Linked DNA regions of Ovis aries. The protein of the gene in region 3 purifies or fractionates together with the protein of the main gene of each other region. This does not show direct contact. Links are inferred from orthologs where the notes say so. Each region holds a gene or a part of one and is shown on either strand. Other genes may lie near its edges.

What was found.
Region 1: the proteins of SNRPB (region 3) and SF3B3 purify together in Homo sapiens (affinity purification with mass spectrometry; 3 studies listed by BioGRID and IntAct, with this or other methods). This does not show direct contact. The link is inferred for Ovis aries from reciprocal best matches to the Homo sapiens genes SNRPB and SF3B3.
Region 2: the proteins of SNRPB (region 3) and SNRPB2 purify together in Homo sapiens (affinity purification with mass spectrometry; 3 studies listed by BioGRID and IntAct, with this or other methods). This does not show direct contact. The link is inferred for Ovis aries from reciprocal best matches to the Homo sapiens genes SNRPB and SNRPB2.
Region 4: the proteins of SNRPB (region 3) and SF3A3 purify together in Homo sapiens (affinity purification with mass spectrometry; 4 studies listed by BioGRID and IntAct, with this or other methods). This does not show direct contact. The link is inferred for Ovis aries from reciprocal best matches to the Homo sapiens genes SNRPB and SF3A3.
Region 5: the proteins of SNRPB (region 3) and ZGPAT purify together in Homo sapiens (affinity purification with mass spectrometry; 3 studies listed by BioGRID and IntAct, with this or other methods). This does not show direct contact. The link is inferred for Ovis aries from reciprocal best matches to the Homo sapiens genes SNRPB and ZGPAT.
Region 6: the proteins of SNRPB (region 3) and DDX23 purify together in Homo sapiens (co-immunoprecipitation; 3 studies listed by BioGRID and IntAct, with this or other methods). This does not show direct contact. The link is inferred for Ovis aries from reciprocal best matches to the Homo sapiens genes SNRPB and DDX23.
Region 7: the proteins of SNRPB (region 3) and SMNDC1 purify together in Homo sapiens (affinity purification with mass spectrometry; 3 studies listed by BioGRID and IntAct, with this or other methods). This does not show direct contact. The link is inferred for Ovis aries from reciprocal best matches to the Homo sapiens genes SNRPB and SMNDC1.

What each region holds. Positions count from the first base shown.
Region 1 is NC_056067.1:1,098,706-1,102,205, forward strand, and holds part of SF3B3 (splicing factor 3B subunit 3), read right to left. Parts: intron 3,004-3,500; coding exon 2,838-3,003; intron 2,329-2,837; coding exon 2,233-2,328; intron 1-2,232. UniProt on the Homo sapiens protein: Component of the 17S U2 SnRNP complex of the spliceosome, a large ribonucleoprotein complex that removes introns from transcribed pre-mRNAs.
Region 2 is NC_056066.1:10,398,374-10,402,669, forward strand, and holds the end of SNRPB2 (U2 small nuclear ribonucleoprotein B''), read left to right. Parts: intron 1-406; coding exon 407-547; intron 548-1,164; coding exon 1,165-1,215; intron 1,216-2,856; coding exon 2,857-2,945; intron 2,946-3,428; coding exon 3,429-3,588; 3' UTR 3,589-3,796; downstream 3,797-4,296. UniProt on the Homo sapiens protein: Involved in pre-mRNA splicing as component of the spliceosome. Associated with sn-RNP U2, where it contributes to the binding of stem loop IV of U2 snRNA.
Region 3 is NC_056066.1:52,392,153-52,396,431, reverse strand, and holds the start of SNRPB (small nuclear ribonucleoprotein-associated proteins B and B'), read right to left. Parts: upstream 2,801-4,279; 5' UTR 2,698-2,800; coding exon 2,695-2,697; intron 20-2,694; coding exon 1-19. UniProt on the Homo sapiens protein: Plays a role in pre-mRNA splicing as a core component of the spliceosomal U1, U2, U4 and U5 small nuclear ribonucleoproteins (snRNPs), the building blocks of the spliceosome.
Region 4 is NC_056054.1:12,733,427-12,737,365, reverse strand, and holds the start of SF3A3 (splicing factor 3A subunit 3), read left to right. Parts: upstream 1-1,139; 5' UTR 1,140-1,226; coding exon 1,227-1,322; intron 1,323-1,599; coding exon 1,600-1,647; intron 1,648-2,943; coding exon 2,944-2,996; intron 2,997-3,102; coding exon 3,103-3,208; intron 3,209-3,939. UniProt on the Homo sapiens protein: Component of the 17S U2 SnRNP complex of the spliceosome, a large ribonucleoprotein complex that removes introns from transcribed pre-mRNAs.
Region 5 is NC_056066.1:53,744,868-53,749,044, reverse strand, and holds the start of ZGPAT (zinc finger CCCH-type with G patch domain-containing protein), read left to right. Parts: upstream 1-1,377; coding exon 1,378-1,964; intron 1,965-4,177. Other genes in the region: ARFRP1 (ADP-ribosylation factor-related protein 1), read right to left, coding at 84-176. UniProt on the Homo sapiens protein: Transcription repressor that specifically binds the 5'-GGAG[GA]A[GA]A-3' consensus sequence. Represses transcription by recruiting the chromatin multiprotein complex NuRD to target promoters.
Region 6 is NC_056056.1:137,338,863-137,343,097, reverse strand, and holds the start of DDX23 (probable ATP-dependent RNA helicase DDX23), read right to left. Parts: upstream 2,801-4,235; 5' UTR 2,717-2,800; intron 2,240-2,716; 5' UTR 2,172-2,239; intron 1-2,171. UniProt on the Homo sapiens protein: Involved in pre-mRNA splicing and its phosphorylated form (by SRPK2) is required for spliceosomal B complex formation.
Region 7 is NC_056075.1:30,411,048-30,414,547, reverse strand, and holds part of SMNDC1 (survival of motor neuron-related-splicing factor 30), read left to right. Parts: coding exon 1-98; intron 99-716; coding exon 717-878; intron 879-2,939; coding exon 2,940-3,093; intron 3,094-3,500. UniProt on the Homo sapiens protein: Involved in spliceosome assembly.

The DNA.
Region 1 (3,500 bases), on a different chromosome or scaffold from region 3:
TTGTTTACAATCACACTAGATAATACAGTCCCCATAATATAGCAGTGCTCACAGTGTACACTGGATTAAAACACTGGAACCAGCTAGTCAAACAGAAGATTAAGAACCAAACGGCTAGAGGTACTGTCGATTCCCAACACTGCCTTCAGCAAGCAGTGATGGGACATCTAGGATAGCTGCTGCAGCCAAGGCCAAATGCTTCCTTTTGAGGATAACATGCCTGCATCCTCCACAAAAAGCAAGCATGTGGGAATGAAACAGTCCATCTCAATTAGCATCCTTTCCTTTCCTTTGCTCCCTTAAGGCGAAATTCCACATCTCTTCACCAAACAATTCAAATACCACATCCTTTAGGAAAAAAATCTTCCCTATTTTCTGAGCTGGCAGTCATCTCTCCCTCCTGTAAGTTCTCAGGAATCACAATCATCACCGCTTAGGACACTTATCTGAAAGTAATCTGAGGAACTGTTTTGTCCTTCCTACTTGATTTTTATGCCCCTTAATGTCACAGTCAAGACTCCTCTGAATGTCATATAGACTTTCAAATGAGAATAAATAAAATATGTAAGATAAACTCAAAATGATCCAGAGGAGAAAACAAGGTGTGGACTAAACATTAACTGTCTATAATATCCTTGCAATTTTTCTGTAAATCTAAGACCACCTAAGATAAAAATTTTATTAAATATTTTAAAATGACCTAGAGATAAAAAGCAAGACAGCCTATCATATTGTGCAATTGAACAGTGAGCTACATTTTACAGGAAGGACTCAAGAATACATATGAAAGGCATTTTATTTTATCCTTTTGTTGGTTTATCCAGGTAATGGTAGCAAGAGTACCTGATCATGGTACAGGAGAATCTTGGGAAACTTCACAATCAATAAAATCTCAATGTCATGTACGCTACACTATCTGACAGTGACTCTGCTCAACTGAGACCATAATCTAGCTGAACAAGATTCAACAAACATACACAGGAAGAAAGCAATGTCCAGCAATTAAAAAAATATTTTTTGCATAACAGATTTTAAAAAATAGAATTAGAAAAAATTAGGAGGCAGCAGAGGACTCAAAACCAACGATTCTCCATCAGGCTCTTTCTCTCCCAACACCATGCACACAGTGTTAACGCATGTGTACATTTTTTTGTGTTTGAGTGCTTACTTTCACCAGATGATCACTGGGATCCAATGAGGAGCAAGTAACTTATCAAGAACTATTGGTCTAAATTAGGTTCAAGTCACTGAAATTTTGGTGACTTGATGAATATTCAGGCAGTCAAAACTTTTTAAGTCCCCTGAGACAGCAATATTGATAGCTAACGTTTATTGAACAGTTACTATAAGCCAGAACTTGACCAAGTACTTCATCTGCATTCTCATTTAATTCATACAGCAATCCTTAAGGCAGATGCTATTAAGCCCATTTTACAGAAGAGGAAACAACAGCTTAGTAACAATTAAGTAGAGCCAAAATTCAAAACAAAGGTCACCTTGCCTGTGTTCCAATAAAAATTTACAAAAAACAGGCAGTGGGCCTCTAAGAGCCTGGAGTTTGCCAACCCCAACTGCTAAAAGTAACTGCCATAGGAAGATTTATTTTATTCCTAACAAAATCAAGCCCAGGGCTTGCTAAAATGCATCAACACAAGAACCATGATGAGAAAAGGATATGGGATTTGAGAAGATAATTTTGAGTGTCCATTTCACCTAAAATGTCCAACAATAAAGGATTCATTAAATAAATTCTGATCCACCCACTGTGAAGCTACACTGCAAAAACATTAAAAATTGTACGACTTAAAAGCACATAGTAATAAGAAATAAACTTAGTAAGATATAAATACATATATATACTGTATTTAACATAGTTTAAAATGTAAGTATCTAAAAACTATGCAGAAAGATCAAGACTAAAATGAGGTGCAATAAAATGTGCCACGCAAGTCAGACTTCTCAACCTACACATTGTGGCAAGTGAACCTGGAATTAACAGGTATTTTTCCCCTTTGATATCCATTTGCCAAATTTTTAAAGTGCCTATTGTGTTGACATGTTAAAGATTAGGAAATTTAAACTGTAAACTTTATGGAAACAGGTGAAGAGAAAAACATTTTTGTTTCACATAAACACTGAATACATCTTTGATATCATCAGAATAAAGCCTTAGGCTGCTTTGCTAGCACTTGCCTCCAAACCCTGCATATGATCTAGAAATTTCAATCTTACCTCAAGTCCATGCCTTAAGACTCTCAGAGATGACCGCGGTCCCCTACCACAGGCCACATAGAGCTGGGGAGTGTCTTCATTGGCCAGATCAGCTATCTGCACAAAGAAAAGGGGGAGAAATGCCTACTTGTGCTACTTTCCCACACACAAACTTGATTATTCTCATGGGGACAAACCACTTTTTTAGTTTATTAGGCTTAAATATTACTACGGGCCCTGGGCACATGGAGTGAAAAAAAGACCCAATGTCCCGAAAAGCAAGCAGTTTGAAGCAGCAAGTTTTACAAACAAAAAAAGCTTTTATCAGTTCTTTGTTTTGGTCACACAGCACGTGGGATCTTGGTTCCCTGAACAGAGATGGAACTTGTGCCCCCTGCAGTAGAAATGTAGAGTCTTAACCACTTTAAGCCCAAGGATTTATGTAACGCTTTTTAACCCCCCAACTGCCTTCAGCTATTTTACCCTTATACCCCGGCGGGTCCACAGATATGCTGCTGAACCTCTTTAGACTATGAGGTTAATTTGAATTAAAACTTTAAACTCATTCATATTAAAAAATAGTTGGTTAGCACTGCTCATTATGTAGTGACTTGAAAGATCCTCACCTGGCAAAACAAAATGGGAGAGAGGCTGTCCAACTCATCAACCAACACAAGGTTTTTCAGTGGTCTTGGCTGAAAGAAGAACGTGTCTCCTTCTTCTAGAGGCATGGCAGATGAAAACTCAGGTTCCTCGTCGTCATCTCCAAGATGCGCGATTTGATACAAGTAACTAGGGAGAGGCAAAGATTTCAGGTAAAATGTTTTCTCTGATGTACATTATAAATATAATTAACACTTCCATATGTTATACATGAACCAAATGAGATTAACTGTGATAACCATTTCATGATGTGTGTAAGTCAAATCACTATGCTGCATACCTTAAACTTACACAGCGCTGTATTTCAATTTTATCTCTGTAAAACTGGAAGGGGAAAAACCCAATAAGCATTTAAAAAGTACTTCTGAAGATGTCTGCCATCAACATAATGCTCATAAATCACTTTAATATTGAGTCGGCATCTACAGTTTGAGATCTCTGCTTACTGACTAGGGTTTTCTATGTCTTTAAGAACAGGGTACATACCCAAAAGAATTTAAAACAAAGACTAAAACAGATATTTGCACACCAGCGTCCAATGCTGCATTACTCTCAACAGCCAAAAGGTGGAAAGAATCCAGGTGTCCATTAACAGGTAAATAGTATGTGGTACATACATATAGTGG
Region 2 (4,296 bases), about 42 Mb from region 3:
AGTAATATTCCAGATTCAAAGAAAAGTCATTCTCAGTCTTCAGTACTTTAACTTGAGAAGTAACAAACTCCATGCACATCTTGACCTGTCGAACGTTCCTGTAAGGCATAGACAGCTTTCCAGTGTACTCTTTTCTGTCTTTTAGTGGAGAGGATCAGTGGTACAGATTTTTCCAAGTTCTGTTTCTCCCATATGAAAATCTATGGTTCTTCAAATAAACACAGTTGAATCTAACCTTGTCTCAGTTGCAAATCAGGGCCACAATTTATTTTCTGTTGGCACTCAGCATACTTGACAGATTTCCTTCAGCATGTGTTTAAAATTAGCTCATATTTGTGTAATGAAATTTGAAATATTAATGACAAGTGTAGATGAAAAATAACTTTTTAAAAAATAATTAAAACAGCGAATCCAGTATGCCAAAACAGATTCTGATATAATATCTAAAATGCGTGGCACTTTTGCTGACAAAGAAAAGAAAAAAGAAAAGAAGAAAGCCAAAACTGTGGAACAGACTGCAACAACTGTGAACAAAAAGCCTGGTCAGGTAAGATGGGCAAAAGTTCATATTTTGTTGTATATCAGACAGTTTTATTTGAATTTGCATCTATCCTCCTTCCTCCATCATTATCCAAAATATGTTAATATCTGTTGGCTTATTTTTCGAGTTCTGTGTATAAATAATACTATAGATTTTATCTTTATTTAGTATTCCACTGAAATTAGTCTTCTTTGAACAGTTCATAAATTCAAAAATCTAATTTAAAAATTCCAGATAAAGGTGAAATTATCATCCAAAAACTAGTTACTTTGGGATTGAAAGTAATTAGAAATCAGTTTTGATAAGTATAATGCTTGAGTTTTTTTTCTAGTTGTTTTAAAAAAAGAAAAGTGAGAAAGGCTGGTCCTTGGTTTTTCTCCTGTATATTTCTCCATAATTTTGAAACTTAGAGGTTGACTTTTATGATACAGACCTTTCAAAAATATTTGACAAGTTACAAATACATAAATGTTCGAGTCAGAGTTTTAAGATGTAAATTCTCAAAATAAAATGGAATAAAAAAATCTTATGTTAATCTTATTTTTAGTGCAGTAATTTTAAACACTTGCTACTTTTTCAGAGGGATTGGAAGTTTTAACTGTTTCTCACTCTTTTTCCTTTAGGGAACACCAAATTCAGCTAATACCCAAGGAAATGCAACACCAAATCCTCAGGTAATATTTTTTCCCATGTGATACTTACTTTAAAATAAAATTACAAAACAATAGCAGTAATGTACAACAAGCCTCATGTCTCCAAAAACTGAAAACGATTCCATCTGTAAGCCACAATAATGTGGAACCTCCTTCCTCAAAACATTTTCTTTAAGAAGAAGAAAACAAAACCTGACTTTATTCCTTGCTTCCCACAATGATCAATGACAGGATTAAGCAATATATTCTAAGTTCTATAAAGATAAGAAGCAGAATAGTTGTTTTCTTCACATGATGTGGCCCAGAGCTTTTCGGGCTTGTTGCTTGGAATCCATTCCCATTGGCTAAAGCACTAACCCATCTTTTCTCAAAGAGCGAAGTTGTTCTATGGTTACCTTTGTTCTTATTTCCTCAGTACATATATGTGTAAGTCTCCTGATACAGATCTTTACCCAGTGACTCCACGGTATAGAATCCGCCTGCAGTGCAGGAGCTGCAGGAGACGTGTGTTCTTACCAGGATTGGGAAGATCCCCTGGAGGAGGAAATGGCCAACCGCTCCAGTTTTCTTGCCTGGAGAATTCCATGGGCCGAGGACCCTGGCGGCTATAGTCCATGTGGTTGCAAAGAGTCAGACTCAACTGAAGCAACTTAGCACAATATAGACTTATCAGGAAACGCTACTAAATCTTCCCAATAAAGGCCTCAGAAATCTTGAGTTATACACTAATGGTTTCCCACTTGGTCCCTTAGGTGCTAGCGTCCGACAGGATCCTTACCTCCAGGGAATCCCTTGCACCACTGAGGTTTCCTCCTCTGACTTTAAGGTTCTCACATTGTCTACTGCTTAGAAGTCTCCCAGCAGCTGAGGTCCAGCACATAATTCTCTAAGCCCTCAGTTCTGTACATTTCATCTCTTTTCTCCCGAGAAATTCACTCTCGTTTACTTGGGAAACACATGAAAAGTCGCCAAATATAGGTTCTACATGGAAACTTTCTCTTTTTCTCTATCAATTTTTTTATTTTTGGCTACTTTGGGTCTTCGTTGCTATGCACAAACTTTCTCTAGTTGTGTGAGTGGGGGCTACACTCTAGCTGCGGTGTGCGGGCTTCTCATTGCAGTGGCTTCTCTTGTTGCAGAGCATGGGCTCCGTAGTTGTAGCACTAAGTGGAAATCTTTTTTTTTTTTTTTTTTAATTTTCTTACACACTGGGAGGTAGTATGCAGTAGGATTGAGTATCTGAGGGTTAAGCAGCTGAGGATGGGTGACACCAATGCCATCTCTGGTTTTGTTAAGACCAGTTATATAATCCAGATGACAAAAGCCTTCTATTCCAGCTGCCTCCAGATCCTTAAAACTTAAATATTATTTTAAAGACTGTTAATTAAATACTTAATATTTAAATACTTTAAAACTGTTGATAAGATTTATAATCTTCCAAATATTTCCTAAGTGACTTGAATGTCAGTCTTAATTACTGTTAGGTTTTGTTTACTTCTCTGATGTCACTGTTTTTCACCTTTAGAGCTTGATGTGGTAAGATTTCATAAGCCTTAAACTGTGGAATGTAATTATCTGAAATTTAGATTTAAATGTATGAGCCAAAGTGACTTAGTATGCTTTTTATACTTCTAAGTTAACTTGGCCTTTTCTTTTTAATAGGTTCCTGATTACCCTCCAAACTATATTTTATTCCTTAATAATCTACCAGAAGAGACTAATGAGATGATGCTCTCCATGCTGTTTAATCAGTAAGTGTTTTCATAAACAGTCTGTGTTCTGAGAGCCTCCTGACAGGATAGATAGCACTTCCCTGGGTTGAATCCGTTTGTATACCATACAATAATTCCTTACGGCTTCATTGATTTGCTCCAGAATTAATCTTGAATTGAAACCAGTATGCAGATTAAGCAAATAAGAAGCTGAATTACCTCTAACGTTTGAATTATTAATTCTAATTGATAAGTAAAGTAGAAGACAAAGCTTTGATGAAGTGACAGGAATAGAATTGGCTTACATGATTCCTGCCGTTCTTTTCATGGTATTAATTATATTTCAGGCTCTTTCATCCCACTCAGGATTCTTGGTGGGATGTGATCATTTTCCTGGACATACATCATGATGTTGCTTAACAAATTTAAATACAGAATAGACATTTTGTATTTGATGTCATTTCTATATTTGTATATATATAAATTGTTTACATATGTAAGCATTGTTTTCATTCATTATAGGTTCCCTGGTTTCAAGGAAGTACGTTTGGTACCTGGGAGGCATGACATCGCTTTTGTTGAATTTGAAAATGATGGACAGGCTGGAGCTGCTAGGGATGCTCTGCAAGGATTTAAGATCACACCGTCCCATGCCATGAAGATCACCTATGCCAAAAAATAACATTTGGGATAGCTGTCTTTAAAGGACTCACTGTTATTTATAGCTTTCGTTTTGATAGCATTTGATCAGTTCATTTTAATAGCTGGGAAAGGGGAAGTGTATGTGAGCTTTTTGTAAAGGATTTGAAAGGTTACGTAGTCTCTGTTTAGCCTTAGTGAACTGTGAAGGCCTTAATTTTGTACAATAAAATTTTTATTTGTATTCCTTACCTAGTATTTCATTTATTGACCCACTGCCCTATCATCAAATGCTGGTGCTAGGCTAGGACACATCTTAAGGTACATAAACTGTAATGGGATGCTTTTCTAGTGTCATCTTGGAGCAGCTAATGGTAGAGACACTTTAATAAAAGTAAAAGAATTAGATCAAGCACTTGATTAGATTTTCTGTGTTATTTTTTATGCATATGAACTGCCATCCTGGGACTTATTTTTGTGTTATTCATTCATGTATTTATTTATTTGGCTGCACTGAGTCTTAGTTGCAGCATGTGGGATCTTTGGTTGTGGCAGGTAGGATCTAGTTCCCTGAGAGTGAATCAAACGCAGGCCCTGCTGCTTCGGGAGCACAGAGTCTTACCCGCTGCGCCACCAGGGAAGTCCCTTTTTTACTCATACTTGTACCAATACTAATACTTAAACTTGTACTAATAATAGTAATGATCATCCTGCATATTAGAAGAAAATGAGACCTGGGCAGGATCTGAAT
Region 3 (4,279 bases):
TGCTGCTCTTGCCCACCGTCTGCAAGGAGAAATCAGCAGGAATGAGACTCAGCTCTTTTGGACCCACAAAACTGCTGCCTTTCCTTAAAACTTCTGCTGCAGCCTTATTTTCTGTTTGTCCTTCTCAGTATTCTCAGTTCTATCTTTCAACCACAGCCATTTCCTAGGAATTCTCTCACCTGTTTTCAAACCTGACCTGTTATTGTCCCTTCTCGTAAAATCATCTTTTTCATATAACAATTGCCTTTGTCTATGTTGCATATCTTTGTCTATGCTGTAGTCATATATGGATGTGAGAGTTGGACTATAAAGAAAGCTGAGCACAGAAGAACTGATGCTTTTGTACTGTGGAGTCGGAGAAGACTCTTGAGAGTCCCTTGGACTGCAAGGAGATCCAACCAGTCCATCCTAAAGGAAATCAGTCCTGAATATTCATTGGAAGGACTGATGCTGCAGCTGAAACTCCAATACTTTGGCCACCTGATGCGAAGAACTGACTCATTTGAAAAGACCCTGATGCTGGGAAAGATTAAAGGTGGGAGGAGGGGACGACAGAGGATGAAATGGTTGCATGGCATCACCAACTCAATGGACATGAGTTTGAGTAAACTCCAGGAGTTGGTGATGGACAGGGAGGCCTGGTGTGCTGCAGTCCATGGGGTCACAAAGAGTTGGACACAACTGAGGGACTGAACTGGATTCAATGTTGTATTATGTTTCAGAAGTGAGAGGGTAAGATGGCTCCAAACTACTGAACCCCATGCATATTAGAGATCAGTGGCCATCTACCACTGTGCAGATTACAGGTGACTCCAGTGCTGTGGAACACCACCATCCCATTAAAAAGACTGAGGTAAAAAAAAAAAAAAAAAAAAAAAACACCGAGTAAAAGAGCTGGAATGGGACTGGCACTAAGAACCCAATCAATGAAGAGCCTGTTATCAGAAAGGAGATGAACAGCTTAGAAGAGGAGAATGGAACCACCGAATCAGTGATTTGTTAGTGTGCCTCCAAGACTATATTCAGCAACGTCAAAACTTCCTAGTAACCAGAGTGCTAATGAGTTTGAACACATAATGAGAATATACAAGCTGCTATACTCCTTAACCCAACAACCTTTTCTCCTTCACAGCCTGGCTTCAAATGTAGTTGTGCTAAAATAGAGTATACAGACCTCACAAGAGGACTGTCAAGTGCCCTTGGCAGTTACATCTCTATGAATAAACATTTGTTATATCAGCCTCCCATTAGTTTGACCAGTCTTAACTCATCCAAGAGCCTTTGAGGTACCAGGCACTGTGGTTGCTATTCATCTCTGTGAGGTTGAACAAACACAGGTTTTCTGAACGTACAAATGCATGGATCAGAATCTTGACTCCTGTTACCCTGGAGACTCAAGTTATGCGGTGCAGTTTCTTTTACATGACCATTTTAACCAAACTGTAACCACAGCTTCTAACCACTCGTGTCTGAACCTTTACAGTAACATTTACAGCTCCATTTGTCTTCTACAGCTAATTCGCACTGGGCGCTGACTGGCAGGCACTGCCACAAGCACTACTTATCTCATTTAATCCTTAAAATCAGACTTTACAGATGAGGTCACATGGCTGTAAGAGGTCAAGCTGTGCTGAAAGCTAGTGAGCCTGAATCCAGTGCCTACTTTTCTAACCAACTCTCTAAACTACACCCTGCTTCCGGTTCACCCGATATATAACAGCTACCTAACAGTTATCTTTCTGAACACAAATAAGTACGTGTCCTTTTGCTTGTTAAAAATCCTTCAATGGCATCCCTTACCACTAACAAAATTAAATAGCATGTAAAGCCTTTAATAACCAGATTCCCGCCATTTCCTCCCACCAACATTCTTCCCTTTCCCCTCTAAGAATCTTCAACAATGCTACCCTTCACGCTTTGTTCTTGCAGTCCTTCGGATCTATACCATTCTTTCCCATTTTCGCCCGAGTCTTAGGACTCTGACAGGGATCACCGAGTCTAGAAAACATTCTTATCTCGCTCCCCGCCGTTACTTTTACTTAACGCTGAATTACCACTCCGAATTATGTTACCCGTGTCTCCAAATAAGAGTGAACGCAGTGAAGAAAGGAAACACTTCATTGTGTAGCCCCAGGGCCTGAAAAGTCAGGCGTACTCAAGCATAAATGCTGAACAAAAGAGTTAAACTTTTCCTCCCTCACTCATCCTCCGTTCCCTCCTCCCCATCTACCAGAATCAACACTGTTTCCGGCCACAAGTCCTTCCACGTCTTTCCGCAACTCCTCGGACCCTCACCCTTCACAAGTCTGAGCCTCTCACTCGGTCTTACTCAGTCCTTCTACGGCGCTAGTGCTTGCTCAGAAGCCCCCTACACACATACATGCCGCAAAGTTTACTCAGCGCCTGTGGGATCCCACAGCGGCTTGGAGAGACCCAGCCCTAACCTCGCGCGTACCAAGCGACTTCTGGCCTCGGTCCCTTATTTCCAGCCTTCTACCCCACCCCCCACCCCGGACCCCCTCGCCCAGTCCACCGAGGGACGACGGTGTGAGTCTTTCCTACGCAGACGGAGGCGCCGCGGCCCGGGCCTTCACCCCCTGAGCGGCCAACCCATGACCTCCTTCCTGGTTAATCGCGATCCCCACCCCACAAGAGGCTCAGGAGCTCCCGTGCTGCTGGTCTGCGCCTCCTCACCATGGTGGCGGTTCTGATGGCTCAGATTCCCGCCGGATTCGTCTTCGTGGAGGCCTAGAAGCCCGCGAGTAACTCGCTTCCCGCCGCCGCTACCGGAAATGTAACCGCAGGGAAAATGGGGTCGGGTAGCAAGCTGCTTCCGGTCCCGGAGTTGGGCCTTGAGTTCCGGCCGAGGCGCTGAGTTATGAGCTTAGGGCAGGGCGGAACTTTGGGCGGTGCTATCTTCGGATCCTCTTTGTTGGACTGCTTCCCGGCTTCAGTCGGTACTTAGAGCTGCTCCTTTTCACCTTCACCACCCATTCCCCCGCGTCCCAGCCCGTTAACTTTCGGTCCTCATCTCCCAGCACTTTATCCCGGCTCTCTTGTCTACAGGACTTTCGTGGTAGTTCAGCTGGTAAAGAATCTGCCTGTAATGCAGGAGACCCCTGTTTGATTCCTGGGTCGGGAAGATCCCCTGGAGAAGGGATGGGCTACTGACTCCGATATTCTGGCCTGGAGAATTCCATGGACTGTATCAGCCCATGGGGTCGCAGAGTCAGACACCACTGAGCGACTTTCACTTTCATCTCTTGTCTACAGCCACAGTCCCTGCTTTTCCGTGAACTTACTCGACCTGCTTCTGCACAGCACCTTTGCTGTTGCCTCTGCCTAGAATGCTAGTCGTCCATGTATGTGCACGGCTGACAGCCTCACCTTCATGAATTAAGTTCAAGTAACGTTTTCCCACTGAGGGCTTTCCTGGCCGTCCTTTTCTAAAACTGAAACCTTCCCACCCATCCCTGTTTTATTAACACCTTTCTCCTTAACACTGATTGCTAACATACTGTATGTGTGTTATTATCCCTCCGCATTAGAATGTGAGTTCAAAGGATATGAATTTTTCTTTGTCCATTGTTCATTGCTGTAGTGCCTAGAACACTGCTTAGCACATAACAAGGGCTTAATAAATATTTGAATGAATGAATTTATCAGTCACTCCCATCCAGTCCCATGACTTTTTTTTCAATGATAACCTTTACTAAAATGTCCTAACACACACACACAAAATGTATTTCCAATGCATTACAGAAAATATGACCATTCAGGTAAAGACACAAAAAAGAAAATTAATGTTTTAATTTTTTTATATTTTGAATTTCCATAATTTTTTTTGTATTTTTGAGATTTGGACAAAATCTATACTTTAGTTAGTAATACTATATTACACGCTAATTTTCTTGTTTTTTTTGCAGCATATTTCTTTATATATTCAGAATTGAATTAGAAGTGTCAAGCCTAATTCAAATTTTTTTTATCACTAAGATAATAAACTTTTAAGACTTTTTTTCTAGATGCCAAAATACATGGAAGTATTTCAGAATTTTAAGTGAATATAAATTAGAAGTCTAGAATTCTATTAAGGCTAAGTTAAACAAGTGGAATCAAAATGTCAAATATTTTATTTAGGCAAAAATTCACAAGTTTTATAAAATATGTATATATTATATTATACATACTATTTATGTATATATTTGTGTATACAAAAGCTTTTCTACTATGCTTAGTAAACACTTGAGAAAGGACGTCAAAAAAAAAGAGAGAAATT
Region 4 (3,939 bases), on a different chromosome or scaffold from region 3:
ATTTCCTTCCCATCTCACCTCTAGCAGCAGGCAACCACTCACCTACTTTCTGTCTCTGTAGATTTGCCATCTGGACGTCCACTAATGTGTGTGTGTGTGTGTGTGTTGTTGTTTTTTTCTGCGTGTCTGCTTTCTTTCACATAACATGATGCTTTCATGGTTCATCCATATTGTAACACTCCTTTATTGCTGAATAATGTTCCATTGTATGGATACACCATATTTGGTTTGTATATTTACCAGTTAATGACTGGGGGTAGCAGCTTTGTTGATAATGAATAGTGCTGCTATGCATGTCTGCACATATGGACATAGGTTTTCATTTCTCCAGCTAGATGTGGGCATATAGACTTGTTTCGGTTTTTTTTTTTCCAGTTATATAATATTTTACTGCTTGAATGCACTATATTTTATTTAACCAGTCCCTTGGGTTTCCCAGGTGGCACTAGTGGTAAAGAACCTGTCTGCTAATGCAGGAGACATAAGAGATGTGGGTTTGTTCCCTGGATGGGGAAGATCCCCTGGAGGAGGGGATGGAGACCCACTCCAGTATTCTTGCCTGAAGAACCTCTTGGACAGAGGACCCTGGCGGGTTATGGTCCATAGGGTCGCAAGGAATCGAACATGATTGAAGCGACTTAGCACGCACGCAGCACTGCTGATAGACAATTAGGTTGTTTCCACATAACAAAAGAGAGGAAGGGAAGGAGAAAGAAAAGAATAAATGAAAGGAAAAAAACCCGCGATCATTCCCATTTTACTGAGGGAAAAACGTTGTCACAGGTCACACTGAGCTGGAGACTCAAGTTCCGGTTCATCAGCTCCCATACGTGCGCGTCAGCTACTCAGTCCAGGTCCCTACCAGCACGGCCGCACAGCTAGGGAAGTCCCCGCCGGCCAGGTCAGATTCCTTAACGCCAGGCTGATGGATTTCTGTGTGCCCCCTAGAGGCACCTGCAAATCGTTCGGTATCGCGCCACACACCTCCGGCCAGCAGGGGGCACTGCAGCAGTCTCCATAGCACGGACTGGGTCTTTAGCGGTGCTCACTTTTCCTCGAGTCCCCGAGGAACTTCCGGCAACCGCGGAACTTTGGTGCCTCCGGACTCGTAACTTGCGGACGCGGGCGCGCAAGGCGGCAGGGGTTGTTTCCGGTCGTGTTGGTGGACTGGCTTGAGCTGGGGCGGCAGCGACTGCGGCGGCGGGGGAGGAGAAGGAGGAGGGAAGATGGAAACGATTCTGGAGCAGCAGCGGCGCTATCATGAGGAGAAGGAACGGCTTATGGATGTCATGGCCAAAGAGATGCTCACTAAGAAGTCCACGGTGAGTGGACCTAGGCAGGGGCTACCGTAAGGCCGGGCCCCCGGCCCGGGTTTAACCTCAGAGTTTTTTTCAGCCCTCAGACCCGCCCCGCCCCGAGCCCTTCGGGGGATTCCCTCCCCGAGCTCAGGCCTAGGTAACCTTTCCCCGGGGCCCAGCGCCCAGAGGCCTCTCTGCTTGGGCTGCTAAGACCCGAGCAGGTAAGCTCCGCCCTCGGGCGGCCTTCCCAACTCCAGAATTCCGACTAACGGCGTATATGTCACCGTTTGCCTTTTTTCAGCTCCGGGACCAGATCAATTCTGACCACCGCACGCGGGCCATGCAAGATGTGAGTGTCCCGCTGTCCGCTTCTCTTTGGGCACGGTAGACTGGAAGAGGAGGGAGGGGGTGCGGGAAAAAGGTAGCCGATTGGCCAGTCGAGGAGTTTGTATGCCTGCCGAATGTACGCGCCGAAAGCAACCCTGAGGATGTTTAACCACCCTTACTCCCTTCTCCGAATGGAGTACTCTTACTCATTTTTAATTACTAGAGAAGATCCCCTTTACAGCATCCTGTGTCCCATGGATGTGCAAAGAGTAGTTATGAGGTGTCAATGCCTCAGGCTTAGAAGGTACTCTCCTTCTCCCCCATAGAAAAAAAAATAAAGACCCTAATCAGAGTTTCTGAATTAGGATAGATAAATATTACTAGCCCCTAATCCCTTATTTAGATTCCCAAATCCAAAGTATTCTGAAAACAAAAGATGTTTTAATTTGTTTTGGAAATTATTTGGTGGCAAAAATCTGACTTGATCTGATCAGATGAGAGGTTTTTTATGGTCTTTATCCCATTCAATAAATAACATAACTTTCACTGCAGAACTAATTAATGTGTTTTCCAGATCCCACTAGGGATATTTCATGTAGTACCTTCCTGAATTCCAAATTCAGAAGCAAATCTGGTTCCAAAAGTTTTGGAGAATGGGCTATGTACTTGTGCCATCCTGAATTTGAATCCAGAGGAAGCTGTGTGGTGTTTTACTTAGCCTGAGCATTCCTTAGTCAAGCCTTTTGAAATAGTGGAAGTCAACTTGGACTACCCTTTTATCTTTGAGAGTCTTTGATGGGAACTGCTGTTTTCCAAAGGGTGACTCTCACATGGCTCTCTTTTACAATACAATACTTCTACTGTTGTTTAGTTGTTAAGTCATGTCCGACTCTTGCAACCCAATGGACTGTAGCTTATCAGGCTCCTCTGTCCATGGGATTTCCCAGTCAAGAATGCTAGAGTGGATTACCTTTTCCTTCTCCCGACCCAGGGATCCAACCCACGTCTTGTGCATTGGCAGGCAGATTCTTTACCACTGACCCATCAGGGAAGCCCATGACTCTTCTAGGGAAAGTTAAATATGGGAACTCTGCCACCCCTCAAAACACATTTCTTAGGTAATCTTCAGAGTGACCTGTTTTAAAAATTAGCTAGGAGCCAGTGTTGTCTGTTAAGGGTACCAGAAAGCATAAGAACTTTTAACACCACATGTCTTGAAGTTTTCCTGAGATTTGACTAGAGAGCCCTTGTTGGTTGCTTGGGTCTCAGTTGTACGGGCGGATTGCTTCATTCTAATGGATTTGTGTTTGCCTTTCAGAGGTATATGGAAGTCAGTGGGAATCTGAGGGATTTGTATGACGACAAGGATGGGTAAGTCACAGTCACATTCAGTCCAGCAATTACTGCTTTTGAGGGGCCATGGTTAAAGGACTGACTTTGTGCTCCATGTTTTCTGGATTTTTTTCTGAAATTGCAGCTTACGAAAAGAGGAGCTCAATGCCATTTCAGGACCCAATGAGTTTGCTGAATTCTATAATAGACTCAAACAAATAAAGGAATTCCACCGGAAGCACCCAAATGAGGTATGACCTTGCAAAGTTTTTTCTCCAGTCCTGTCCAAAGAGTATACAAAGGACATGTGTTAGGAAAATGGAGATGGTCATTCAGATGTCCTTTCAAAAAGGAACTTACCAGTTAGCAATAAGCAGCGTAGTTAGGTGACATCCTGCAACTGCGAGTTCTTTCAGAATTTCCCTCAGCTTTAAGCTAAAGCCATTCTCTTCTAGGGCTTCCCAGGTGGCTCTCATGGTAAAGAAGCTGCCTGCTAATTCCCTGGTGGTTCAGTGGTAAAGACTGCCTGCACTGCAGCAGTTGCAGGTCCAGTCCTTGGGTCTGGAAGATCCCCTGGAGGAGGACATGTCAACCCACTCCAGTATTCTTGCTTGGGAAATCCCATGGACAGAGGAGCTCGGCGGGCTGCAGTCCATAGGGTCGTAAAGAGAGTTGGGCACGACTGAAGCGACAGAGCACACATATTCCTGGGCAGCCCCTAACCAGCGACTGAACACAGTGTGGGGGAGGGGTATCACAGCCTGGTTATTTCTGCCCACTGTGAGACTTTCAGTGAGATTTTCTCATATCTACATCATGGTCTAGGCTCTCTCTGCTCCATCCCTCCATCCTGCTCGCTCTCTCCTTTCTTTTTTTTTTTTGGTGGCCACACCTCATAGTTCATGAGTTCTTAGTTCCCCAAACAAGGATCAGAACCGTGTCCCCTGCATTGGAAGCATGGAGTCTTAACCACTGGACCACC
Region 5 (4,177 bases), about 1.4 Mb from region 3:
CCGGGGTGGAGAACACGCAGCTAAAAAAAACACCGAAAGGACTGTGGGGGTGGGGGATGGCGCTGACACGGAGCCACACTCACCGTCTTCCCGGCGTTGTCCAGACCCAGGATCAGGACGCAGTACTCGTCCTTCTGGAACATGTACTTGTATAGGCCCGACAGCAGCGTGTACATCCTGCCCTGGGCACCCGAGATCGGTCACGGACGAGACGGCCCGCACCGTGGACAGAGGGTCCCGCTGCCCGCACGGCCGCTCACAGCTGGAGCCCAGGGCCCTCCTGGCTCTGCCTCCCCTCCCTTCCCCTCCGCCCGCCTTCGCCTCCGCAACTGCTACAGAATCGCCCCGGCGCTCCAGGTGCCCACACGCCCTCTCCGGCCCGGCCAGGGCGCTCTGTTCGCAGGCAGAGGGCAGCCTGCCCCGCCCCGCTTCTCGCTGCTCCCCCGCCCGGGCTCCCTTCAGGCTTTGCTCCCCTCGGGTCTCCTTAACCAACGCCCCCTTCGCTCGCGGCCCGCCGCGAACGCCTCTCAGAGGCGGGGCGTCTGAGGGCTGGTGACTGCCCAGAGCAGTCGTGAGGCGGGCGGGCGGCGCGGACAGACTGCGGACCGGTCGCCGAGCCTGGGCCCAGCTCCACCCACCCGCCTCGATGTACCTGCGACCGTCCGGCCGGACCGCCGAGCCGCAGAGCAGGGGAACCGCCTTGCGCCTGACCCACCGACCCGGCGCTAAACCCGCGCGGCGCCTGACGGGACAGGCGCCGGTCGGCCGAGGAGGGGGCGGAGCCTTCCCGGCAGCCCCCGCGCCAGACACTTCCGCCGGCGGCGGTGCTCGGGCGGAAGCGCCTGTGGGCTGCAAGGGCGGAAGTGGGGCGCCGGACGGCTTTGGCCGGTGAGGCCGGCTGGCCGTCTGTGGCGGCGGCCGGGAAACCGCTCGGAGGAGGGCCTGGCCGGGGCGAGGGGGTCTGGGCAACGGGGCCTTGGCCCGAGGTTGCTGGCCGAGCGGAGACGGGCGGCGCGAGGCCGCAGAGGTGGGCCCGGCGGGGGACACAAGACTTGGACGCATAGACCCCGGAAGAGCTTGAAGGCAGCTCCCGGGAAGGGAATCGAGGCCGTGGGGCTAGTGGCCAAGGGCCAGCTTTGGCTCCTCCTCTCGGAGCTTGAAATATCTCCACGTCCAAACGAAGAGACTGCTGTTCACGGTTCCGCAGGCTGACCACCGAGGGTTGCAGTCGGCCAACGCTCAGTGTCGGCGTTGTGGGGGCCGTCTGTCCCAGACTCATCTGGCTTCTCTTCTCCGCAGCTCTGGCTCCCACGCCTCCCCTCTGAGGACCCAGGGACCCAGCCCCGCAGGCGCGGGAAATCGGCCCCTCCCGCCAGGATGGACGAGGAGAGCCTGCAGACCGCCCTCCGGACCTACGACGCGCAGCTGCAGCAGGTGGAGCTGGCCCTGGGCGCTGGCCTGGATCCCTCGGAACTGGCCGACCTGCGCCAGCTGCAGGGAGACCTGAAGGAGCTGATCGAGCTCACTGAGGCCAGCCTGGTGTCTATCAGGAAGAGCAAGCTGCTGGCGGCGCTGGATGGAGAGCGCCCAGTCCAGGAGGATGCTGAGCCTTTGGCTTTCCAAAATGCCATCGTGGAGACGGCGGAGGTGCCAGTAGCCCCCGGGGCAGAACTGGAGACTGTTCCTTCGAGAGAGACTGGGCCAGGACCCACGGAGCCTGGGCAGGAGGAGGACGACGGGGAGGACGAGGAGGGCGGGGCAGCACTGAGTGGAAGAAAGGTGAACGCCCCCTACTACAGTGCCTGGGGCACCCTGGAGTATCACAACGCCATGGTAGTGGGCACCGAGGAGGCGGACGACGGCTCCCCGGGCGTGCGCGTACTCTATCTCTACCCCACTCACAAGTCCCTGAAGCCCTGCCCGTTCTTCCTGGAGGGGAAGTGCCGCTTCCAGGAAAACTGCAGGTAAGGCTTGAGTTCTCTAGGCCACTAGCAGGGGGCGGGGGGGGGGGGGGGGGGGGGGGGGGGAGAGGGCCGCGGGGACTTGCGGACAGAACCTTTGCAGTTCTTTGCAGTTTTGTTTTTCTTGGCCGAGCAAAATGCTGAGAAGAAGAGAACTTTATAGAGGCAGGGGGTTCTTCTAGCAGTATCCTTCATTAGGGGGTCTTCTTGACTTTTCCCCAGGTATGTCAGGAGTACAGAAGGGTTTATGTTGAAAAGAATGGAGCCCTCCCCCCCCCCCCCCCCCGCCGCCTTTCCGTGACCTGTCCTATGCTTCAAAGTGAAACTTCTAAAATTTACTTATATTTTAGATATTTTATTAGAGAAGTGGTCAAACACCCAGGTAACTAGGGAGAGTAGCATAGAGACTGCTCACATGTCATGGTAGGTCAATGTTTTGCTGCTCTTGTATTCTCTGTTCCTGCCCCTGGAGTATTTTAAAGCAGGTTGTAGGACTTACTGGGCATTTTGCCTGTAAGTACTTCAGGATGCCGGCTTAACCTAAGTGACAAGGATGTTAAGTTAAAAATTACCTCCGTGTCACTCTCACACCTCACCAACTTAACAGCAAGACCTTGTTCGTATTTAATCACGAATGTAATGATGTTGTGTTTTCCTTATGTACATTATGTTTAATTTTGCTTCTTTTTCCTTTCCAAGGAATATTTCCTGAGATTTCTAGTAGATGATTTTCTTCTTTAATCAGTAGTCCAGGGTAACTATTCAATATCTTCAGTTGTTTGGTTATCTTATTTCTTTACAGATTTTTGCTGGGCCCAGAGTCTTATTTGGTGCGGTTCCCCTTTTTTTCCTTTTTCCTCATGAGTTTTGTGAAAAGTGTAGTGTACATACAGGAAAGTGCATGAATCAGTCATAAGCCTCCTTGAGCTTCCACAGGGTGGGTGCTGCCTTGTCCCCCAGCAGAGAGTTAAGGATCAGAGCAGGGAGCCCTCCATCCTTCCTGCCATGGTCCCTCTGGAGGGTTCCTCCCCGTCCCTGTGCCACGTCCATGTGGGGATGAGAACTGACGTATTCATGTGCTGCTTCCTCTGGGCAGCACTGTTCCAGGGGTTTCACGTGTATTCACTCACCTGGCAGCAAGCCTGCCAGGTAGGCCCTACAGCTGCTGTGGTTGCTGGACCCCCGAGGGGCAGTCCGGCTCTGAAATGCTGCTGCCTGCTGTCAGCTTCAGGCCTGACCCATGCAGCCCACCCACCCCACCACCACCCAGGTGTAACAGTTATTTTGTTGCTTTTACTTTGGATTTTTAGTTTAAAAATTTACTTATTTAAAATTTTATTGTAAAGATAAAGTAGTGTTGAAGCACCCTGGGACCTGCTTTCTATCCTCCCCTCCTGGGAGGCTTGCCACAACTATGATGAGCATCTCTCTAGCGTGTGAATCCTTTACAGGCACGTGTGTCTGTGAACAGAATATTCTTGTGCTTTATTTTCTAATTAAACTATGTTGTACAGCCTGCTTTGTTTTGCAACTTGCTCTTCTCACTGAGCGTGTCTGGGAGAGAAGTTTACATAGATATTTATAGGACTGTTTTGTGCATTTTAACTACTATTATTTTTCCTCATTCATATGCCACAGTTTATTTTGTCTCCTGGTGTTTACCAGTTTTTATTTACTAAAAAGAACACACTGAAAATCCTAGTACACATCTTTTGTCTCTGTTGGGAATGTCCCCAGTGTGGATGGCATGAGCATTTTCTTTCCTTGCGCGCTGTCTGCTTCTAAGCCCCTGGTCTGCTCTGTCGTGGTCACCCTAGTCACTCTTGGTCACGTTCTCTAACTTGGGGATTCGTACCTACTGAAGTGAAGAGGTGGTCTTGATTGAACTTGTATTTCCTCGATTATTAGGAAGATTGCATATTTTTTCATACGTTGTTCTAACTTTATCGCTCTGTGTTTCAGTATCCTTTTCCATAAAAAGGAGAGGAGCATGTCTTTTGCAGTTGTTGAGAGGCTGGAATGCATTAATATGCATAAAAAAACAGTACCTAACATGGAATAAGGACACAGTGGACTTAAAATTTTTATCTTGTTGTGAGAAAGGTCAAATCCAGAAAGTAAAGACAGCACAAGGGATCACTGTAACACTCAAGTACTCAGCTGAAAACTACAAAGCTGCCGGTTACTCTGGGGTCCTCTGTGCCTCAGCCCAAACA
Region 6 (4,235 bases), on a different chromosome or scaffold from region 3:
AGTACCTGAGAGGCGCCAGAAACTGTTCCAGTACTGGAGATACAGCAGTAAGCAAAACAAAGCCTCTGAACTCATACTGCTTAAATTCCAGTGAAGCAGACAGCAGTTAGGCAGAAAATAAGAGAATTTCAAACAGTGTAAGTGCTAATGAGAGAACAAAGCAGGGTGTGTGATGGGGAGCAGCATGAACAAGAGGGCTCTGGAAAGAATTTTTTAAATGACATGTAAGCTGAGACTTGAATGATGAGAAATAGAGAGTCCATAAAAATCAAGGAAAAGAATTTATTGTGTAGAAGGAACAGCAAGACACTGAGGCAAGAGCTAGCTTAGCATGTTTGCTAACTAAAAATAGGCACGTGTGGAATTCCCTGGTGGTCCAATAGTTAGGCCCTCACAATGCCAGGGCCAGGTTCAATCCTTGGTCAGGAAACTAATATCCTGCAAGCTATGCAGCACTGCCAAAAAAAAAATACTCATGTGGTCAGGAGTGGCAGTGACCAAGAGGAAAACTGGCTCAAGATGCGTTCAAGGAGGTAGGCAGGAGTCAGATCACGGAAACGTGTTTTAGGGCAGGCTAGAAGAACTTGGCTTTTAGTTTAACTGCAGTGGGAAACTTAAAAAGGTGTTAAACCAGAAGTAATATGGTCTTATTTTACATTTTTAAAGAATCACTTCGGTGACTTGCAAAAGGCAAAAATGGACACGGAACCACTGAGAATGCTATTATGGTAATCCAGACAGAAGATAACAGTGGGGACCTCTCTGGTGGTTCAGTGGCCAAGACTGCACTCCCAATGCAAGGGGCCCAGGCCTGATCCTTGGTCGGGGAGCTAGATTCCACATGCCACAACTAAGAGTTTGTATGCCACAACTAAACAATTCCTTGTGTCCAACTAAGACCCGGTACAGCCAAATAAATAAATAAATATTTTTAAAAAGGTAACAATGTTTTGTTCTAGGAAAGTGAGAGTGGAGACGGAAAGAAGAGAGCCTCAAGGCAGATTCTGAAGACAGAGCTAACAGGACTTACTGATGAAGGGAGGAAGCAAACAGGAGACACTCAAACTCCTATATGGCCTGACCAACTTAAATGGCTCACAGCACCATTAGTGACTGCAGAAGACTGGGGAAGGAGAAGATGGAGGAAGAAATTTAATGTTTCATTTTGATCCCGGTGAATGTAAGATGTCAGTAAGAAAACCAAGTGGCGATTCCAGGAAGGCAGCTGAAAATGCAATTCTGGAACTTAGGAGAGAGTTGGAAACAGTAATGTGAGTTATCAATATACAGACGGCTTTTAAAACCATAGGACACTAAATGATTATTATCTAAGTAGGCATTCTAGTTAGGAAGAAAACAGAGGAGGACCCAGGGACTTCCCTGGTAGCCCAGTGGTTAAGAACCCACCTTTCAATGCAGGGCACACAGGTTGGATCCCTGGTCAAGAAAGTAAGATCTCACATGCTGCAAAGCAACTAAGCCCACCTGCCCCAACTAGAGAGCCCAAGCGCTGGCAGGAGAAAACCTACACCACAGCGCCGCCACCCCCTCACTACCGGAACTGCAACTAAGACCCAACTCAGTCATAAATATTTGTTCTAAAAACAGGACCCAGGATTGAGCTCTGAAACACTGTAACGTTTAGAAGTCAGGCATAGAAGCCAGAGAAGAAAACTGGAAAGAAACAATAGCCAGTGAAAAACAAGAAAAGATAGTAAAGTATGCCATCACAGAAGCCAAAAATGTGTTTCAAGGAGGGAATGCTGATCTGTGTCAAGTGGAGAAAGACTGGAAGATAAAGGACTCACCCTCACCTTTGTAAAAACAGAGATGACAAGAGCTGTTTTAATGGCATGGTGGGGGTAAAAGCCTGAGTGCAATGAGTTTAGAAAAAAATGAGAAGTGCAAATAAGCAGACAGTAAACACAGGCAACTTTTATTGTAGGTTCTACTCATCACAAACCTCCGGATCTTTGAGTTCCTCAGTGCTTGCAGGACAGCACTGAGGAACTTCATTGAAGGAACTTCATTTCATTCAATGAAGTATGCATTTATCAAACAACCACCATATGCAAGGCACAGTGCTAGGCACAGTGTGAGTTACAAAAGGAAATCAGCAAGATCCTGTCCACAGGAAGCTTACAAAACAATAGAGGATATAAGACACATACCAAGATGCAGGCTCAGATGAATTGCTGCACGACTTCAAAGAAGTTTCCTTTCACTTGAAAAAGGAAATCTGGAAAGAGTGTAGAGGAAATGGCTCTTGAGTATTAAAATATAGGTAGAATTTGAAGATGTGTAATTGAGGGTTCCGGAAATAAGTCATTCCCGGCAAAAGAAATAATACAGGAGGCGCAGAGGCGGGAAAGCATGACTAGTTATGGGAGAAAAGCCAGAGTTTCAGTTTGGCTGGAGCAAGGGCTACTCCAAACATGAAAGAATAAGATCGGACTGAGGATATCACGGGTGCTGTGCGCATGGGCAAAGGTCTGACCCGTAACATCGTCCAGGGACCTGCCCTATCCCCGCCGGAGCCAACACTCCCACTGGGGCCCGCGCCCCTTCGCTCCTGCCGGATAGGTCTTTCCAAGCTCGTGCCCTTTCCCTATGGCGTTCTTCCTCTCCTCGTCCCAGAGACAGGGTCGACCGCTGTGCCCTCATTCTCGCCTTCTCTGCAGGCTCGTGGAAACCGCTTCCATCGCCCGAGACTCACCACTCTTGAGCCCAAACCGCCCAACGCGGCCTCAACGTCGCCGAGTAGTCGCCATCTTTCCCGTTTCCTGGTCGCCGGGCTGCTCCCTCGGCCGCGCGGCAAGCCGGGAAGGCGAGTTCCTGGTCCCGGGCAGCGGAGGCCAACAACGCGGGGCCGAGAACTACCAATCCCCGAATGCACGGCGCGAGCGCCGGTCCCGGGACGCGGGGGCCGCTGGGCAATGTGGTTCGCCAAACATTTGAGTCTGTGGGAGGAAGAGTTGTTCATAGGTGGACTTTCATCAGAAGGTTTTTCTCTCTGCGGGCGCAGCCCTCCTGGAATATGCTGGTTTTACTGAAAACTGTAGTTAACGACATCATGGCCCGTGGCTTACAACGGAGTAATTTAAGGCTTTCCTTACATATGAACTCGCCTGGCGTGCTGCAATTCATGGGGTCGCAAATAGTCGAATACGACTGAGCGACTGAACTGAACTTATATATCAATAGCACGTAGTTACAACTAGCAACTGTACTAACAGCAATAAATACTTTACCATTTGTGGAAAAGTGGGTTTAAAAAAAAATCTTTGAGATAGATTATTTACAGGTGGACAAATGAAAATTTAAGTTACAGGAGCAGCCTAGTATTTACCAGTGAGGGTGGGACAGTTCATTGTGTGAGACTATCCCAGCTTTGGGAGAACATATTAACAACCCTGGCCCCCGCGGTAACACCGTAGTTACTGTTACAACATTTTGAACATTTTGAAATGAGCTCACACAGTGGATTGCACCTCTTGGAAAGATAGTATCTTCCGGGCTGTGACACCTGGTTTTCTAAACATCCCAGATAGGACCTGCCCTTTTCACTTTCTCGCTCTTTGGAATCTGGCCAGTTGTTTGGGTTACCTTAATACTTTTTCTTTCTCTCTCTTCAGTCCTCCAATGAGCTTTTTCCCCAAAAAAACTGTACTTTCATTTTGTTTCTCTTTGGTCTTGTGGTTAATAATTCTACCTCCCTTCCTCCCCAAAACAAAAATCTTGACAACTTCTAGGATGGTTTAGATAGATGCGTTCATGCTAAGTCGCTTCAATCGTGTCCGACTCTTTGCAGCACCACGGACCAGGAAGTAACTAACGTCTCCTTCCTTTCCTTTTTTACCATCACAAGCTTTTGGGTTTCAATCCCACACGGCTCTTGGTCTGGTTTTTCGCTCTGAATGTGTTCAGTGCTGCTGAAGTAGAGCCTGGAGTAAGCCCAAATAACCTAAAACTCGGAACCTCACTGCACAAAGTCCAACAGTAACCCCAGGAGAGGCATCCTTCTGCTCTTAGAACTCTGAAGCCTTTATCTGCCCTCTTGGACCTCAGAAAAGGGAAGGAAAAAGTTGTCCGAGATCAGTTAGGTGTAATTCGCCCAGTGAACACTGGAGGGCTCTCCACTCACAGACTGGAACTAGCAATCAGACCAAGGGGTAGAGCTGCGACTGCTCTTAACTAAGTTATCTTCTACTGCCCAACTCTGTGCTGGATACTTA
Region 7 (3,500 bases), on a different chromosome or scaffold from region 3:
GAAACTCTGGCAAGTTCAGACAACTTTGCTTCTACTCAGCCCACTCATTCATGGAAAGTAGGAGACAAGTGTATGGCAATCTGGAGTGAAGATGGACAGTAAGTGTAGAAAAAAACTGTAACTTAACATGAACTAGTAAAGTACAATGGTAAGGTGATTTTTATTCAGCTTGAACTACTCTATTTTAGTCTTTATATGGCTGATATGACTTAAACAACCGATTTGATTCTTGGGTGGTTACCATTCCTATAGTTTAGTTTTTAGCTTTAGAGTAAGTTTTAGGGCAGAAGAATGGCTTAGATGCTAGAGGAAATAGACATGAAATAGAGGAAAGTGAATGGATTTTCTTTATTTTAATACAGTCTATAAGTGCTTTTCTCTTTGGGTTGCAAGTTGAGTAATGGTTGGCTCTCTTAGACTTCCATGATGCACATATACTGAAATGATTCATATAAGAAGTATGTTTTCTCACAGAAATGACTAAAACACATTTAGTAGATGTGTCAGAGACTTCTGGGCAATATTTTGGTTGGGACTTCCTTCCTTAAAAACCAGTGGCTAACTCTAGCTGCTCTTTTGTATTATCTTTGCCAAAGGGACGTTTGATTGTATGTTTCATTTTAGACACATTTAATAGTTGAATCACTGCAGTATAAGTCTTATAGGCTGAGTACTAAACCTTTACTCACCTGCTTACAGCCATGATATCTTTACAGGTGTTATGAAGCGGAGATTGAGGAGATAGATGAAGAAAACGGCACCGCTGCAATCACTTTTGCTGGCTATGGCAATGCTGAAGTGACTCCACTGTTGAACCTCAAGCCTGTAGAAGAAGGAAGGAAGGCAAAGGAGGACAGTGGCAACAAACCCATGTCAAAGTAAGTGACTTTGACTTTAGCATTTTAAATGTAATCTTCCCCATTTGGGTATTTGAGGTTGTCTGCAGAATCTGTGCAGGCTATACTAGGGTAAGAAAGTTATAATACTGTTTACAATTATTTTGAAGGTTAGCAGTGTATGGTTAACAGTGTCTGTTAATATGTATACCTAGGTAAAGTGAAGACATTTTGGGGTTCCTGCTTAGGCATTTAATACCTATTTATTAAGAGGATATCTTAAGATTAAAATTAAGAGTATATCTCACTAAACCAGGTTCTGGGTTCCACCACAGCAAAGAAGACCAAAATAGGCCTTGTCCTAACTGTGTTTACAATCTGAAGAATAGACACATAATTAAAGAAGAACTTTAATGTAGAAGTAATGGAGGGAACACAACAGATACTTTTAGAGAACAAAGAAAAGGTAACAAGCTGCATTTTTGTCATGAGGGCAAATTTCTTGGAGGAAATGACATGTAAACTGAGATTTGAAAAGGACAGATGTTGGCCAGTTAATGAACTAGAAGGTATGATCTTGAGCAAGCTGCTTACCTTCTGATTCCTCATCTATAAAACAGGGATAGTAGTATCTCCATTATGGGGTTGTAAGGATTCATTCATAGCTTGAGTAAAACATGTGGCACAGTTCTTGACACATAGGCTTTCCTGGTGGCTCAGTGATAAAGACCCACCTGCCAGTGCAGGAGATGTGGGTTTGATCCTTGGGTCAGGAAGATCCCCTGGAGAAGGAAATGGACACCCACTCCAGTATTCTTGGGGGAATTCCATGGACAAAGGAGCCTGGCGGGCTGTAGTTTGTGGGGTTGCAGAGAGTCAGACATGACTTAACAAGTTAAACAAGAAGTACATTAATGGGGGGGAACATAGAAGTAACAGAAAGAAATCCTTTGGTTAAAAACTTGGGGCTTGAGGGTGGGTAGCTTAACAAGAGAAAGAGGTTAGAAAGGTAGAGGCCAGATCATAAAGAGCTAGAAAGCCACTGATGCATTTCAAGTGGAGAGCATTTGATATGTTCATATTTGAACTTTTGAGTGATTACTGGCAGCAGAGAGAAGGCAGCTGCTGCTATCATCCAGGTATAAGATGATGGTGACCTGAACCAAGGGAGCAGCAGTAAGGATGGAGCCATGCATGGTTTGAGAGTTGTTTAGAAGATGGAATTAACAGTTTTCAGTTAACTTCTGCATATTTATCACAGTTTGCCATCTTTTGGTTTGTCTAGGTGTTTTCAGAACTTAATTTGCTACATAAATATATTTGAATTTGGGAAAATTATATCATCTATTAACAATAACATTTGATTTAAGCATTCCAATAAGAAAAATAGATTGTAGGACAACATGAGATTTCTACTTTTAGTCTTTGACATTGTGTAAAAACCATACTTCATGGAAGTGATTATATGATACAGAGAAGTCTGAATCATATTACCTCATTTTGAATACCTCTGTATTCATTCCTTTGGTGATAAGTCTTAACTTAGCAGGAATTACTGAGAGAACTTTCAGGCTCTGATTGGAAAACCCTAGTTGTTTTTGTTTTAAGAATTGCTAGCTGTGATTTCCCTTTGTGCTGCTGAGCTCTTCCAATCAAGATGAAATAATTTTATCTGCACTGAATCTTTGCATTTTCCAAATGCAGCATATCATACTTGCTAACTGCCCATTTAAAAATTGATAAAGGTTTAGTTAGCTTTTCATGTTGAAACTCATCTTTTCTTGAAACAAAACTTGTAAAAGCTATGTAAATGACAAATTAAAAGTCAGTTGAAATATTGGATTTAAATGGGTAATAGATTACTACAGTTGTGTTTAAAAGCTTCCAAGGATACTGTATATTCCAAATAACATTTATTTTTTACTAGTCCTGAGTGATTGGCATTGGTGTTAGAGCTGGCATTGTTAGTGCTTTTATTTGTGGAGGGAAAAGTGTGTAAACTTACTCGATTTTGGGGTTTCTTTGGCGGGAGAGTGGTTGCACTGAAGTCATCTTTTAGTTGAGGTCATTTTGAATTGACATTTACCTGTTTTGTCCACACAGAAAAGAAATGATTGCCCAGCAGCGTGAATATAAAAAGAAGAAAGCTTTGAAAAAGGCACAGAGAATAAAAGAACTTGAACAAGAAAGAGAGGACCAGAAGGTAAAATGGCAACAGTTCAACAACAGAGCCTATTCTAAAAACAAAAAAGGCCAGGTTAGTAAATTCTTTCATCATACGTACTTTGTAAATTTGCAGAGTGTGGCTGTCATTAAAATAACTTTAAAATGAAAAAGGAGGTTCAATGAGATTTAAAAAAATACAACTGGATCTTGAATTCAAGAATCCTCTTTAATCTTCTTTTTGACTTACTGAATATAAAATATCCCCATTAGCCACTGTCTCTGCAGTGGAAGCACTGTGAATGAATTTATATTAGGAATTTTAAAAGATCTAGGTTATTTTCTTTTACAAACTATAATTTGAAAACCTGTGTGCTATCTTACATACCACTTACTTACATTGGGTATCACTGGAAGATTTTTTGATCACTCAAGTTTTCTTGATGTACTTTTCCTTAAAGGTGTATTTTGAAATTTTAGTTTTTTCCAAAACCAATCAAG